Linked DNA regions of Sus scrofa. The protein of the gene in region 2 purifies or fractionates together with the protein of the main gene of each other region. This does not show direct contact. Links are inferred from orthologs where the notes say so. Each region holds a gene or a part of one and is shown on either strand. Other genes may lie near its edges. The genes, in order: HADHB and ATP1A1.

Region 1 (8,092 bases), on a different chromosome or scaffold from region 2:
TGGTGTAGGTTGCAGATGCAGCTCAGATCCCACGTTGCTGTGGCTGTGGCGTAGGCTGGCAGCTGCAACTCTGATTCGACCTCTAGTCTGGGAACCTCCATATACCACACGTGGGGACTTAAAAAGAAAATAAATAAATAAATAATAAATAAATAAAGTATCTTCACAGCAAAACATAATAAAATAAAGTTAAAAGGCAAACAACGGATTCAGAAAAAATACTTAACAACACGAAAAACGAAGGGTTAATACCATAATCCATAAAGATTTTATACAAATTACAGGAAAAAGAGGAACAATCTGTAATGGAATCTGTGGTTTTTCAGCCCCATTATCCATTTCACCCCATTACGTAGCTGCCACATGTGGTCTACACGGGATTGAATCTAGCTCAACTCTGGGGTTTAAATCAATCAGAATAATCTCATTCTCCTTGCTAAGATTATTGGTTCAGGAAACCAAGGCCTCAAATACTCATATATGGTATTGCCTTGCCCACTAGTATCAATTCAGGGATAGTCTAGTCAGTACGACATTCAAGTCTTCTGCCTGGAATTCTGAAACACAAATCTTCTCTCCTTCTGAAACTTGGCATGGCTACAAGTTGCAAACATGATAAAAACTAGTTTTAAGGCAAGAGCTGGTCTCAAAGGAGGACAGAGCTGAGAATTCAGAAAAAGAATCCAGAGCCCTGATTGAATCATATCTGAAACCCACTCTCCCATTATGCATTTCTGTTCCATAAGAAAATAAATCCCCTTTATTAAACCAATTTCAGTTGCAGTTTCTGTTATTTGCGACTGAAAGGCTCCTTCCTGAAACAGGACCAAAAGGAAAAATGAGCAAATGAGCAATTCACAGAAGAAATAAAAATGTCCAATAAACAAAAATTTAAATGTTCAACCTCACTAACAAAAGATTTTTAATTAAAATAAAGCATCAGGAGTTCCCGTCGTAGTGCAGTGGTTAACGAATCCGACTTGGAACCATGAGGTTGCGGGTTCGGTCCCTGCCCTTGCTCAGTGGGTTAATGATCCGACGTTGCCGTGAGCTGTGGTGTAGGTTGCAGACGCGGCTCGGATCCCGCGTTGCTGTAGCTCTGGCATAGGCTGGCAGCTACAGCTCCGATTCGACCCCTAGCCTGGGAAACTCCACATGCCATGGGAGCGGCCCAAGAAATGGCAAAAAGACAAAAAAATAAATAAATAAATAAATAAAGTATCATTTGGGGGTTATCAGATTGGCAAGAATTAAAAATTGGTTAATATATAATTCTAGCAAGAGTAGATCTATTTAGGCCCTTCCACATAGAGGTGTAATTGCTAAGGCCTTTTCAGAAGGCAATTTTTAGTTATCTCTCAGATTTTGATTTGTGAATTTATTTCTTTTTTTATGGCCACACCTACGGCACATGGAAGTTCCTGGGCCAGGGATTGAACCCGAGCCTCTGCAGCAACCCAAGCCACTGCAGTCAGATTCCTAACGTACTGTGCTACAGTGAGAACTCCTGAACTGTAATTTTTGAGCCTAGTAATTCTTCTTATTGGTCTTTAAGCAATAGAAATATTCAAGGTGTATATACAGCAATCATAGATCTCTAGCCAATACAAATATTAAGGATGTAAACACACATAGTAGAAAACAGCAAACATTCCATCCATGTTCAGTAATTTGTAAAGAAAATTGAAACGTAATGATACATGTATATACGGAATGGAAAGATGTCCACAACATATATTAAATGAAAAAGCAAGCTGCAGAACAATACATATAGTAAAACTCCATTTTATGACAGAAAGAGAGATGAAAATCCATGAAGCTGAGATAAAGAGGGGCTTTCACTTTATATTCTTTTGGGGGAGGGTCACACTCCTGGCACATGGAAGTTTCTGGGCCAGGGATTGAACCCATGCTTCAGCAGTGACCCAAGCAGCTGCAGTGACAACACTGGATCCTCAACCCACTGTGCCACAAGAGAACTCTAGTATTTTATATTCTTCTGTCTTCTTAAATTTTTTACAATGAACATTTTCTTTTTAATGTATGGTATAAATCTAGCTTTAGGAAAATTTGCATGTAATATCTTACAGGTAAAAGTATACAAATGCCTAAAAAATGTCCAGAAAAATACACAGCAAATGTTAATAGCAGTTAGCTCTGGGTGGTGGAGTTATTGGTGTATTTATTTTCTTTAGATTTATCTGAAGTTTTTGAAAAAAATTAAATAGAATATATATTCCCTCAATAATTAATAAAAAGTAGAGCGAGGTTTCAAAAGAAAGAACTAAGCAAAATAGCCTGCGGGAGAGTTGACTTAGTTACTGCCATTTGCTTTAAGCTTTAGGAAATATATTTTGACTCAAGTATTTGGAGAGCATGCCAGGCTTGAGTAGGTTGTGAAACTATGGAAAGATCCATGAGGTAAACAAGTAATGAAAGCAAGATGGACTGGCTCTAACAGCTCATTAAGACACAATCTACCATGTCCTTAAGAGCACACACACTAAAGGCAGACCATCTAATCCAAATCCTGGCTCTACCCTAGTTGTTATGACCTTAAACAAGTAACTCAACTTGCAAAAAGGATTCTTGATGACCTCCAAAGGCCATTTTCTTTCTCGGTTTTAAGAGTAAAATGTAGATAATTCATCGGTAAGATACACCTATAAACTGTAGATAATTAAAGTGCCTACAACTCATAGGGTTGTCATGAAGAATAACTAAATCAATAAATACATAAAGCACTCGGTACAGTGCCTGATGCACAGTACGGGTTATACACGCGTTTGCTATTAACATTAGTGGGCGATGGTATAAACACACTGAGTTCCTCTTTCTGTAAACCACAGTGAGAAGGAGCTGTTTCTGCCCTTGATGGAGCTTAGGCTCTTGTTGAGAATACAGGGAACCAAAATTCAAGAGCCAAAAGAGTGATCTAAATCAGGCGCTGGCAAACTACAACCCCAGGGCCTCTAGCTAATAACCGTTTCTACAATTTTAAAGAGTTGGCGAGCAAAACAAATGAAAGAATATATGACAGAGATGGATGTGGATTGTAAAGCCTAAACTATTTACTCTCTGGCCCTTTACAGAAAAAAGTTTGCCACTGCTGATCTAAACAATAAATGCTACACTAAATTAGAGGCCGCAAGAGCATTATGAGGGAGGAGGCAGCTTTGAACTGTAAAAGCCTTATGAGTTGGAGGGCTTTGGGAGGTCATCAAGAATTCCTTTTACTAATTAAGAGATCACTGGTCATCCAGTTTCTGCTTAACATGATCACAGTGATGGAGGACTCACTATATGACTTGAGCTTTAAACAGAAACCTTTTCTTCTTTCTTTCCATACTCCTCATTTCAGTCTCAACTTCCTTGCCATTTCCCCCGGCCTCTTCTCTGCCTCTTGAACAGTCAATCTGGTGAGCGGTGAGACTCAAATTTATGTCTCATTCTTGGCTTTGCCAGCTACCAGAAAGTTGACATAATCTCTGAGCCCCTAAACTCCACTTACAAAATGCAAACTACAATTTTGGGATATGAAGATTCAATGAGATGGCAGCGAAAGGGCCTACGAGGTCCCCTTTTTTGGAATCAATCGCCGGATTCCAGGACTCCAGACTATTTTTCCAGCACAAAAACAGCAATCATGCACTGCAGAGTTCTTGACTAGAAGTTAGTAAATGTAGGCTCTAGTCCTATTTCTACCAACTGTAGCCACTCTGATTCATGGGCTTCACCGATAGAGTGAAGGGGATAAATGACTAGATGATCTTCAGGTCCCTTCTGGATGAGAAAATAATCTTGAGCACTGGATCTCAGAGCAGGGCACGGCAATGTCTCAGCTCCTCCCAACTTGAGTCCCCAAAAGCCATGAGACAGAGTCCCACTCCCAGCAGCATAAAAGAGGTATCCTCTGGCTCCAGCCGAATCTCTGTAGTCGACCTGACTACAGGCAAAGCGCATGAAACAACAGTGGAACACGGGCCAGCGTTTTAAACTAACACGCACACAAATCAACAGTTTGTTAACTTGTGATGACAAATTAAACGAGCCAGGGGACACCGCTGCTCAGAGCTACGACAACGCGAAGCCAAATTACTGACGAAACTGCACCGGTACGGGAGACTCCACTGAGACGCTTCCTTCCGTCCCCTCGAACTCCACTCCCCCATGGAGGAGGCGGCCGCGGGCCCTGGGGTAGAAGGTGGGAAAGGAAGCGCGGACGGAGCCGGGGGGCAAGGCCAGGCGGAGAGCCGAGCGCACGCTCCTTCTCACCTTAGTTCGCGTCGCTCAGGCACCTGCTTCGGGAAAGCTTCGGACTCAAGTGACAGGACCCGTCGGGGACCAAAAGACAGGTCCTGCCTAGGAAGGACCCCTCACCCGGCCCGCTGGCTCCGCGAGCCACGCCGGCCTCCCGGGCTGCCCTCCGGCTGCCTGACTGAAAAAAATGTAACTCTGCCCCCTCCTCCCAGGGTCTTCTTCCTTCCGGCGGAGAAAGTGTCCTTTTCGTCCCGTTAGCCGGAAGCCAAGGGCAAGGTTAAGGGGCCAGCGGCAATTCGTCACCGGGGTTTCAGTCAGGCAGTACGTCGGACGCCTGGCCAGGGGCAGCCGGCGGGAAGAAAAGTCCTCTGGCTGCCACCAGCTCCAGCAACTTTCCAGTTTCGTCCTCTCCTGCTCAAGATGGTCGCCTCCCGGGCAATAGGCAGCCTCCGTCGCTTCACTGCCTCCCAGACGCTCCGCTGCCCAGGTGAGGCCTGCTTGAGGGCAACCTACGGTCCTGGCCAGAGACCTGGACTTTATCGCCGCAGCGCTGCCTGCATCTCCTGGCTCAGGAAGCCAGCGTTGGATGAGGGAGAGGGTTGCTGCTGTGGGACCCAGTGTCTTGTTGTTTACTGGCGCAGGGACTGATATTTTCTCTCAAGTCCTGCGGCGATTTCAGACTCCGTAACCGCTGACGTTTCTGAGTTCCATCCACTGGGTCTGGCATCTTCCGCAGGTCTCCCCGTATTTCCCTTCATGATGGCCTTGAACCTGTCCCTACTAGATGGAGAGGTCCAGGACGACTAGGACAGCCTAGTCTGTCACATCTTTGTGGCTCCACAGCACCTTGCCTGTAAAAGGAGGTATCTTAAAACCTTCTTGTATGAAATTAACCAGCCTTTCAAATTACTGCCACTTCCACACCCTTTCCCTCAAAACCTTTTTTTGTACCTATTACCACACTTTAATAGGAAACTCACCTGTTGCAGTTCCATAATCCCAGTAGGAACCCAGTATAATGCGTTGACTTTCTCAGGGGAGGTCCTGCAACTTGCAAGGAGAAAACTTTTTTTTTTTTTTAAACATGAAGATACTTAAGGAACAAAATGTTAGATAATTTTAACAACTATTTCTACCCTAGTTTCTAACAATACCCAGGTAGCTTTCATTAGCTATATTGTCTTTTTCTCTTCAAACTGGCAAGAGAAAGAATTAAAGTGGATGATTGTGGAAAATCAAGCATTTTCCTTCCACCTCAAATCTTTAAGGTGAAATGTGATTTTTTTTATTGCATGTTGTATTTAACTCTGCTTACTTAACTAGTAATTTCATTTATAATATGCCTTCCTCCTTCTGAACCACTAGGGTAGTACTGTATGCTGTTTTAGTGCCTGGAATCTCCCTTTACTGTAAGGGATTGATTAAATGATTGACTCTTTTCTGCTTTCTTATTTCAACCACTGTTTTTAGGCTCCACAGGACTCTGTGTGTGTGTGTGTGTGTGTGTGTGACTCCCACTCATAATATTACAAGAAGGTGAAATGTTAAGAGTGGGGAAAGGGATTAAGGAAAAAGAATCACCCATTCTCTTACTACTCACATACCTACTGTTAGCATTTGGTCATGTTACCTGACAGTTTGATTTGTCTGTTTTCCACATTTTTGATTTAACATTTTAAAAATATCAAATATATATTTTTGAACTTTCCCATCCATTGCTCTTAAGGTAATTCAGTTAAAAGCATTAAATTTGGAGTTTGACTTGTGGGTTTGAATCTGGCTTTGTCTTTTACCCTCTCTGGTGACCTTACCCCTGATGACCTTGGACAATTAATGTATATTTCTGTTTTCTCCTTTGTGAAATGAGGAATAATACCACCTTTTGAGCTTTAAAAGAATTGTTTTAAGTGTAAAACAGCTTTTCTATGAAGTAAGTGCTATTATTAATGTTAATAAGCATTAGCTATTATTAACACTTTTTTGCCCTGAAGAACTGTGATTTATGTATATCTGATAATTTTTAAAGTAATGTTTGTTTTACATGTGTAGTAAAAAGTTACAAGCTTGGTTCTTCTATATTTTTTTTGTGTAGAAGTATATATACATACACATGTGTATATATTTTGCATTGGTCTTTCCCCAATAAAGAAAATATGGCTTATTATAGTTATTGCCTCTTTTAGTAGCAATTTATAGATTTTTGAAAAAAGTCCAGGGAGTTCCAGTTGTGACTCAGTGGACACTAGTATCCATGAGGATTCGGTTTCAATCCCTGGCCTCGTTCAGTGGGTTAAGGATCCAGAAATTCCCAGGCTAGGGGCTGAATCAGAGCTGTAGCTGCCCGCCTGCACCACAGCCACAGAAATGCCATATCTGAGCCGTGTCTGCAAACTACACCACAGCTCACAGCAACGCTTGATCCGTAACCCACTGAGCGAGGCCAGGGATCAAACCTGTGTCCTCAAGAATGCTACCACTGGGAGTTCCCGTCGTGGCGAAGTGGTTAACGAATCCGACTAGGAAACATGAGGTTGCAGGTTCGGTCCCTGCCCTTGCTCAGTGGGTTAACGATCCGGCGTTGCTGTGAGCTGTGGTGTAGGTTGCAGACGCGGCTCGGATCCTGCGTTGCTGTGGCTCTGGCGTAGGCCGGTGGCTACAGCTCCGATTAGACCCCTAGCCTGGGAACCTCCACATGCCACGGAAGCGGCCCAAAGAAATAGCAAAAAGACCAAAAAAAAAAAAAAAAAAAAAAAAAAAAAAAAAAAAAAAAAAAAAAGAATGGCCTCGATCAGTTAGTGGTGTCGCTGTGAGCTGTGGTGTAGGTTGAAGACTCAGCTTGGATCTGGTCTTGCTCTGGTGTAGGCCAGTAGCTATAGCTCTGATTTGACCCCTGGCCTGGGAACTTCCATATGCCAAGGGGTGGGGCCCTAAAAAAAAGCAAAAATAAATTAATCAACGAGTTAAATAAATTTGACTCTCACTTCCTTAATTCTGTCCCTTCCTCTGGGATTAAATATTGAGAAAAACATGATTGTTACAACCAAGGTAACATTTTCATATTTGACACTTGCGTCAGCAGAATACAGCTCTCTCCACTGCTATAATCTTAGGTCTTGTAGGTATCTTCTTGAGTTAAATTATTTAAACAATCAGAAAGTAGGACAAAGGTTTCCATCTGTTTTGCTGCCTCAGTAAATATAGGCTAAAGTTCACCCAGCCGCTCTAAAGCAAGCTCTCCTAATTAGGTAGTGAGTAAGGCTGAAATCCAAAAGTAAAGCTGTCTTGTACTTCATCTTGATTTGGTTGACTGGTTTGAAATTGTTTTCCAGATATGTTTGTACATTTACTGATTTTCTGTTTGTTTTCTGCCTCTCTTGATGTAGAGGAGGTTTTGCGTATGGATGTGGGCCAAAGGTAGCTTAGTGGGTAAGAGTTTATAAGCTGATGAACACAAACCTGTTGTCTCAAATATTTGGTCTTTAGAATTGTAGCTCCCACCCAAACCCTTTCACCTGCTTTGTTCTCTTTTTGTTAGGCACTTATCTTCTAACATATCTATTTCCGTATTTATGTTTCTTGTTTAATCTGTCTTTCCACTTCCTCCCTCCCACTCTGCATTCCAGATCAGTGCATTCTCACTGATGCAGTTTACACTGTTCTAGCTAGACTTGTCTATTACCTGGCTCCTCTCCCCCTGCAATTTCTACTTTTCAGACAAACTCCTTTTTATGCCAGGCCTGTTTTCACCTCCTCCACAAAGATAGGGATTTTTGTCTTTCTGTTCGCTCCAGGTGCCTGGAACAGCACATAGTAGGACATACTAGATTTTGGT
Region 2 (7,992 bases):
ACGGCACCATGGAAGCATCACCTGGAGGACAGAAGGAAAACACAGGAGGCCTCGCCCTCCCCATGATGACAAGCTGGAAAGATCAGGTCCCACTGATCCCCAAACTTTAACACACTGATGATCAAGCCCTCAAACCATACAGGCCCCCCAAACAAAAGCCCGAGCCATCAGGGATCAATGCCTCAGATCACCAACAGCAAGTATCTAAGAGCTGTTACTCAACAGGGTTTGAATAAAACCAGATACAGAGATAAATTAATGTTCAGATATAATTCACTGTCGAGTCAGTCACAAAGGAACGAAGCAATAGGGTCTACTGGCCAAAATTCCCTTGGCTCAGGACCCAAAGGAAAGCAGACAGAAAAGCTGCAGGGTGGGTCTGGGGTGCTTCTGTTCTCACGGTAGAAATCTGCCGCCCCAAACGTCAGTCAAACAAATGTGAAGAACTCCTTGTGGATTCCTGACGACAGATTTAAGCACAACGAAGGAGGTGACTCATATGCAAAGAACAGTCTCTCTCTGACACCAGCCAAAGAACACACTTCCTCTCACACACACTCAATCCAGAGCAATGCGAGAAAGTTCAAATCTGCCTCGGTTCTGTCTCCTTTTCCCAAAATATAAAAACCGAAGGGGAGTTGGGGGGGGGGGAGAGTGGATTTTACAATTCTCCGTTCTTCACATTAGCACTTACTGGACATGCAATTTCAGCGGAACCCAGAACTGGACAGCTCTGGCACGGATGGGGAAACATTCTGCCCAGTGTTTTGCTGTCCCAAAGCAGCCACTCTGATTACTGTGAGCCCATCTGATCTGACACTCGTGTTTCTTCTTCTGGCCTGCTGGCTGGCAGAGCGCCCTGGGCAGCTAGAAGGCACCACAGCCCATCACCGAGGGCTGAAAGCCCAAGCACACCCTCCCCCCCTCCCGTTGTATTTCACAAGACTTTGACAAAGACTCTAAAAATGTCAAGTCTTTTATTTGAAAAGCGAAAGTAGATCAAAACCGAAGGCGCTATTCAATTGCACCTCTGACATGTCCAGTGACACTTCCAGGCAACTTCCCCTTGGAGGGTAATTCATAGCATTTCCCATTCTTTTCAATCCTCAGGATGTTTTCCAGGTGAAAGAAAGACTGTTTTCTAGTTTTGAAAAGGCTTACGTTCAGACGAACTGAGGAACAGCAAACCCACAGTTTAATAAAGATTTGCTCTTCTCTTGGTGCCAAATACTTTCTAAGGCCCAAAGAGCTGCCAGCCACTCACACCTGCCCTGCACTCGCTCTAAACAAAGCAAAGGTGACTCCACTCTGGTGATTAGTCTACCCAAGGGCCAGGTGAGAAACCGATGCTTCAGGGCTTAAAAAAGCAACCAAACCAAACCAAACCAAACCCTCAACATTTTTGTTTTAAAGAAACGCACTTAGCTTACTTTTCCATACAAAATCCTTCGAAAACTATATTCCCTAAAGCCTCTTTCATTCTTAAGTGTGGATATACAGTGTAAAAGAACACAGCCTGAAAGCACAGAGTCACTTACCTGTTAATCTGTTGCTAAAATAATCAGAAAACAATGCTTTAGAAGGGTTCTGGGATGGAGAATGGATGGGTACCAAGTTTATCGTACTTTGAAATGTTGCCTTCACTCTTTTAGTTTAAAATGCAATGGAGGAATTAACACTTCCAGGGGTCTGGATATTTCAAGTTTTAGCCCTTACCCGAATAAACATTTAACTGTGTGGTTTTGTTTTGTTTTTTTAAACCTGGCCTTTTATTTTTTTGGTGGGGAAGGGGTGGGGCTGTCAGATTTAGCCTCCTCTCCATCTCTCTGACTGGGGATGCGAGCCTCCCCTTCCCCACCCTCCTACCCAAAGGTGAGTCACCAGAGTGTTACAAACTTACTGGCAGAGAACACTACAAATTAACAAACAGAAAGTTACCCTAAAAGAATACACCCTCAGAACAGGGTACAGCAAAGGTGGGGTGGGGGGGCGGCAGCGAGAGGAACAAACATTCACATCTCAACATTTAACAGGCCGAGGGTGTGATGCAACCTCGACCTTCTTTCTCTATCCCCAGGGCTAGTCACCAGCTCCTCCCATAGCCGCTCCACTAGCTGGGGGCCCTGGCCTGGGCAACCTTCCACTGTGAGGACTCTGCCTTACAATGTTTTCAGTCTAAAGTACTGGCTTTATAGCAGCCAGAGGAGATTTAGCCACACTTTCAAGTTGAGCTCCAAAAGGGCAGCTGATAATGTTACCATACAACCAGGATTTCTGCTGACATGGGTATCCCTTGTGCAACCTTCACCCGAACCTTTTTCCCCCCAGGCTCCTCTTCAAATCTCTCCCCATAAGCTGTGATTTCTAGGTAACTAAGTTAATATTCACACAATGGAGAATCGCAGTGAAACCCCCACCCCTTTGTACACTTGAGCAAAAAGGCAAGTTTCTTGGGTACCTTTGGTGAGCTAACGGGTTGTGGGTGGTAGGCCTGGCTGCGGATTTAAGCCAAGGCACTGGCAAGACACCCCGCACGAAAAAAAGGACCCAATCCTCCTTCACCCAGGAATGATTCAGCAGGAGCTGTTCTTTCGTTTTCTTACCAAAAGCTTGGGCAGTGGCTTTGGAAGGAGATATAAAATCACCTGCAATCTCCTCAAAACCTAGGCCCCCAACAGCAGTGGGAAGAGGAGGGGAAGAAATTAACAATGACCTTAAAAATTAGCTGCCAGCACAGGCTTCCTGGTTAACCAATTATCAGCAGGGCTTTAGTCACCACTCCACCCACATTTTAATCCCCATGTGGAAAAATCCCAACATTTCAGCATAAAATATCCTGAACATTTGGACTATCACGGTAAGTCATTGGGGACAAAAAGGTTAACTTTATCCCAGGAGAATCACCACCACCACCACCACCACCACCACACACAAAGACACACACACACACAGCCACCCCCTAATGCTCAATCTGTGAGAGTTCCCCAAATACGAACCACCCAGCAGCTAAGCAGCACATCAGCCTGCGTTCACCAATTACAATTCAATTTTGTGTTTGCTAGCCACTAGCCATTTGATGAGGATCCGTAAGATGAAACTGCTTAAACCTCCACAACCCAGGCATGTTGCTCTCTTTCCCACTCCCGGGCCTGTGCGCCGTTATGAAAAGGAAATATAGGTCTATGGATATAATCCAGTTACTCAAACATCTGGTCCATTAATTCAGCATCACGAACACCCCAGTTTCATCTGAAAAATAACTTTAGAATTCTGCATGTATAAGGCAACGTTAAGGAGGGAATGAGTATTTAGGCCGGGGAGGAATCAGGGACTGGTGTGTCACTAACCAACCATTTGACCTTGAGCAAAGCACTTCACCTTCCTAGGCCTTGGTGACATATCTACCATTTCTCCAGCTCCCCCAAACCAGTAAGGTGGCTCAGAAAACATGATTTTTTTCTGGGTTTTTTTTTTTTTTTGAGGGGATAGAGATACAGAAATGAGCTTTAAGGAGCTCGTTTACTGGAATGCCCTAGGATTTGATGGAGTGGTTCAAGTACAGTCACGAACTCAGTTTCCACCGTGGGCAGTATAGAGGCTAGCACTCAGCTCTTGCCTTCAGCTACTTGACCTGAGCCAGCCCTCCACTTTGGTGCTTTTAAAAGATACAAGTTGTGCATTCCCACTCTTCCTTACTACCAGGTTCAAACCTTTCAATGACCTCCTTCAAAATCCACTTGGCATTTCCAGAGAATGCACCCTCCTTCTCTGCCCATCGCTCACTCCACACCCAGGAGCCTGCCCAACCTTCAAAGACCTACTACGGGCCGGGGACTGTGCAGGCTCTGGACACAATGGAGCAGATGCTCTCCCACTAGTATTCTCATGACCTGGTCATTTTATCTCATTTTTTCTTCTGTTATTTTGTATAAACTTTTCTCAACAGCACTCTTGGCCCCACTGGAGTCCAGGACCTAGTCTCCTGCTGTGGTTACGGGTTATCTCAGCCCCGAGTTATAGAAATGCAGGAACAAGCCGTTGTTCTGGTATCCCCAGAGCGCCCGCTCCTCCGGCCCGGGGGACCCCTCGTTGCTTCCGACCCCTCTTCCGCGGGTGGGCGCTCCCACCGCGTTGCCCCGCCTCCCGTTCTTTTTCGGGTTTATTGTACCCGGAGGCCCGGGTGGATCTGCTTGTGCTCCTTCCTGCCTCATCGCTCTAAAAAACTTACACATACCCTCCCCACCCTCAAGATGACCACACCAGTGGCTCCAGCTGCCTCCCGGGAGCATCCTGTGTTTAATGGAAAGGGGCCCATTAAAGCTCTCAAAAGTATACCTTAAAGGCCATCTTAGGGCGAAGACACACCCTTTCTGGCACCAGCCCGCCAGACCGGCTCCGCAGTAAGGGGAAGCCAGTTTTTTCCTTTGGGGAAGGGCGGCCACCTCTCCGGGCAACTGGCTAAGCCCTGGCGCCTCCAGGAGAAAAAGCCTGGGACCCTAAGGCCGCCCCCGCATCGGAAGACCCCCATCGCCCAGGCCGGAGCCGCGGCGGGAACTACAGCCCGGGAAGGGGCCGGGTAGAGCGCCCCAGGGGAAGGGGAGGAGCACGCCTTTCCTCGGGGCACGGAGGGCGGAGGGAAAAAGGAAGGCGAGAGACGGGAGGTGAGGGCGGGCGGAGGGAGGGAAGGGAGGAGGGAGGGAGCGGGTTGGGGATGCCGCCGGCAGCCCGCTCCTAGCCGGGGAGGCCCAGCGGCTGTCCTTCCTCTGCCTCCGGGGCCTGCGACTCCCGAGCGCCGCCTCCAGGAGCCCAGGGCCCGCGACGCGTTCGGGCTCGGGGGCCCGCAGTCCTTCTCCAGGCTCTGCGCACCGCCTGGGGCTGCCCCGCTCCGGGCCCTCGGCTCTCCCTTCCCCCGCCCGCCCCTCATTACAGCGCTCCCTCCATTTCCAAAGTGCGTCGTCTTTTAAGCCTCTCTGCTCTGCCAACCCATTCCGCGCCGCGCCGCTTCCTCCTCCTCCGCCTCCCGCTGGCTGCGGTCGCCCTCCTGACTTCCTCCTCTTCCTCCTCCTCCCCTCCAGGGCTCCCCGCACCCCTCCCCAGGCTCGCTGGACACTCACCCCCTTCCCCATAGTGGCGGTGGTCTGTGTCCCGCGCCGGGTCCTGTTGCTTGAGAATCAGAGAGAAAAGAGAGCGGCTCCCGGCCAAGCAAGAGCGGCCGGGGGAGCGGAGAGGAGGGAGCTAGGGCTGCTGCGGGGCGGGAAGGAGGGAAGACGGCCGGCGGCTCGGGCCGATGCCACTGCTGCTGCCGCCGCCGCCGCCGCCGCCGCCGGGGCTGCTACCGCTGCTGCTGCCACGTGTCCGCCTCCTCCCGCCGCTGCTCTGCGCCCCAGACCCCGCCGCAGCTCAAGCCCGCGCCTCCTCCTCACTTCCTAAAATATGCAACCTGCGTGCTGGCCCCGCCCACGCCGCGGCACGTCACCGTTACCGGAGCAACCTGACACCGGCCGCGGGCCTGACTCCGCCCCCGCTTCAAACCCCACCCCCGCAGGCCCGGGGCCGCGCCGGCTGCGGCCGGTCGGGGCTCCCGGCAGGAGGGCGCCGGGGCCTGGGGCGCGCGTGCCCAAGTCCCGAGAGGCGGCGGCTGCGCCACTGCGGGGCGCGGCGACTCGCTGGGCAGCGGGGACTCGGCGGCCCTGCAGCTCTCGCGTCCCTCCTCCTGCCTCCCTGCGTGACCCGCCTGCTTTGGAGGGCACGCAAGGTCCGCAGTGGGTGCGGGGACGTCCGCAGAACTGGGCCCCCGAATCTCCGTGGACCTGGGACAGAAACCACGCGCTGGAGCATCTGTGGGTATCCGGGAGCTCCTCTGGGACTAAGGGAAGCGCGGGGATGGGGGGGTGGGGGTTGGGTGTGCCTGCAGCCAGCGCCCGCAGGAGGGACTCCGCCTTCCTGCGGAGTCCAGGCCCCGCGTCCACCTGCGGATGGCCTTCCCAGCCAGTCCTTTGGTGCCCCTCTGAATGCCTTCTCTGGTCTTGGGGTCTCCGTTATCCACAACCCATAGGGCTTGAGCTGGCTTTGCCAGAGGTCCCAAGACCCCCCCCCCCGCCGCCGCCGCCGCCGCCGCCGCCTTCAAGACCCCCAAATGTCAATCCAAAGGGCCTGCAGTGAATTCATTCATGCCACTGTGTGAATGAAAGTTGTTTGTCCAGATTGGGGGTTCGCTTTTGAGAGAAGGAATACTTGAAGCCCAATATCTTTAGCAAAAGGGGATCCTTGGAGAGGGACTATTAGTGGGCCTGTCTCACGCCTCTCCTTGCCTGCCCTCTGACATAGCAGGACCTCTTTCTGCCTAGGAGTGGGTGCTGTGAGGGACCTGCGCCTGCAGTGTGGTGACGGGCCCAGGACCACCCGCCCAAGAGCCCTAGCCAGGCTCTGCTGAGCCGCTTTCCTCCCACTACAGCTTCTGCAGAGGCTGCAGTGGCTGGAGGTCTCCAACAGTTAAAAAACAAAGTATTATTAACAATGTTTTCAGGAAGTCAGGCATACTCTGGGAAAGCACAAGATTTGCAGGAGAAAATCACTCCATATCTCTGGGAATTCCAACAAGAAACACAGAAAACATTCACTTCCTAAGCAAGTTAAAACTAGTCCTGTCGACATCAAGTATTAATTTAACATGAATAAATAAAGGTGTGAAGCTTGAAAGAAATGGAGGAGGGAAGGAAGAATGAAAAACAAAGGAGGGAAAACTAGCAACTGTGCTATCAGTTAGACCATGAGGGTAAGTCTTGCTCCTTAGAAGAAACTGTTTCTTCCATGAGTCTCTTTCCCTTTGCCCAAGAATGCATTGTCAAGAACTGGTGCCTCCTCCATCTTCAGGCTTGGTTAAATCAGTGCAGACCCTGAAGAGCAAAGGCATTGTAAACGGAATTCAAATTCATGACTGCTGGAGAAAAGAGCCCCCACATCCAGAACAGGGTTCCCAATGCCGCTAATTCAACAGAAGGAATTTATGGAGCGTGATCAGGGCTCTGTCTCCAAGGGTCTAGAAAATGCTGTATTGGCATCCCCCATTACTGCTAACCTGTAGGAGGCTTTTCCTTGCTAAAGATCTCTGTTTGTTTGAAATTACTTATCCCTTGGTCTGAATGGAAAAAGCACACAGCAAGAACGACAACATGCAGAAAGTCTCAACAGTGTAGATTTCTCCTGCGAAAGGATCACCTTTTCCTCCCTTAATAAGAAAATTAGCTTTTTTTTTTTTTTTTTTTTTGGTTCAGCAGTATAACCCTGAGAGATCAAGACATGTCCCGTGGTCTCTACAGCTGTTTCTTTGGCAGCTGAAGATTGCCGAAGGTCCTTCCTGGAGGACCTCCGAGCTCTAGCTGCGTTCCAGAGTGGGGAAAAGGCATAAGATAAGAAATATTGGGACTCCCCATTGTGGCTTAGCATTAAGCGACCGAACTAGTATTCATGAGGGTGAAGGTTCGATCCCTGGCCTTGCTCATTGGGTTAAGGTCTGGCATTGCCATCAGCCATGGGGTAGGTTGCAATCGTGGCTAGGATCCAGGGTTGCCATTGCTGTGGTGTAGGCTGACAGCTACAGCTCTGATTCAGCCCTAGCCTGGGAACTTCCATATGCTGCAAGTGAGGCCCTAAAAAAAGAGAAGGTATCAGAAATATTAACTAAAATCTGTATTTTTGCCTTCTCCTCCACAAGCACTTTTGCATATAAAAGTCCCTGGGATTCTCACAAATCCAGAAGGTAAAAGGCTTTAGCTGTATTTTACGGAGTGCGGCAAACTGGAGGTTTGAGGATTTGTACTAATAAGGCCACTCGGCTAGTGATGGGAGAGCCTGGTCTCAAAATTGCAAGATGGGAAACACTTCCTACTTGTAAAGTTGGCTCTCTGAACCTAGCACCGAGGAAGTTTTGGTGGGAGAATTGCAGGTGCTTTCTTTTTTTTCTTCTTTTTACAGCCCCACCTGAGACATATG

The links.
Region 1: the proteins of ATP1A1 (region 2) and HADHB fractionate together in Homo sapiens (co-fractionation; 3 studies listed by BioGRID, with this or other methods). This does not show direct contact. The link is inferred for Sus scrofa from reciprocal best matches to the Homo sapiens genes ATP1A1 and HADHB.

What each region holds. Positions count from the first base shown.
Region 1 is NC_010445.4:112,748,718-112,756,809, forward strand, and holds the start of HADHB (trifunctional enzyme subunit beta, mitochondrial), read right to left. Parts: upstream 4,405-8,092; 5' UTR 4,276-4,404; intron 1-4,275. Other genes in the region: HADHA (trifunctional enzyme subunit alpha, mitochondrial), read left to right, coding at 4,681-4,747. UniProt on the Homo sapiens protein: Mitochondrial trifunctional enzyme catalyzes the last three of the four reactions of the mitochondrial beta-oxidation pathway.
Region 2 is NC_010446.5:104,379,163-104,387,154, forward strand, and holds the start of ATP1A1 (sodium/potassium-transporting ATPase subunit alpha-1), read right to left. Parts: upstream 4,355-7,992; 5' UTR 4,348-4,354; coding exon 4,336-4,347; intron 1-4,335. Other genes in the region: proline-rich protein 18-like, read left to right, coding at 5,288-5,840. UniProt on the Homo sapiens protein: This is the catalytic component of the active enzyme, which catalyzes the hydrolysis of ATP coupled with the exchange of sodium and potassium ions across the plasma membrane.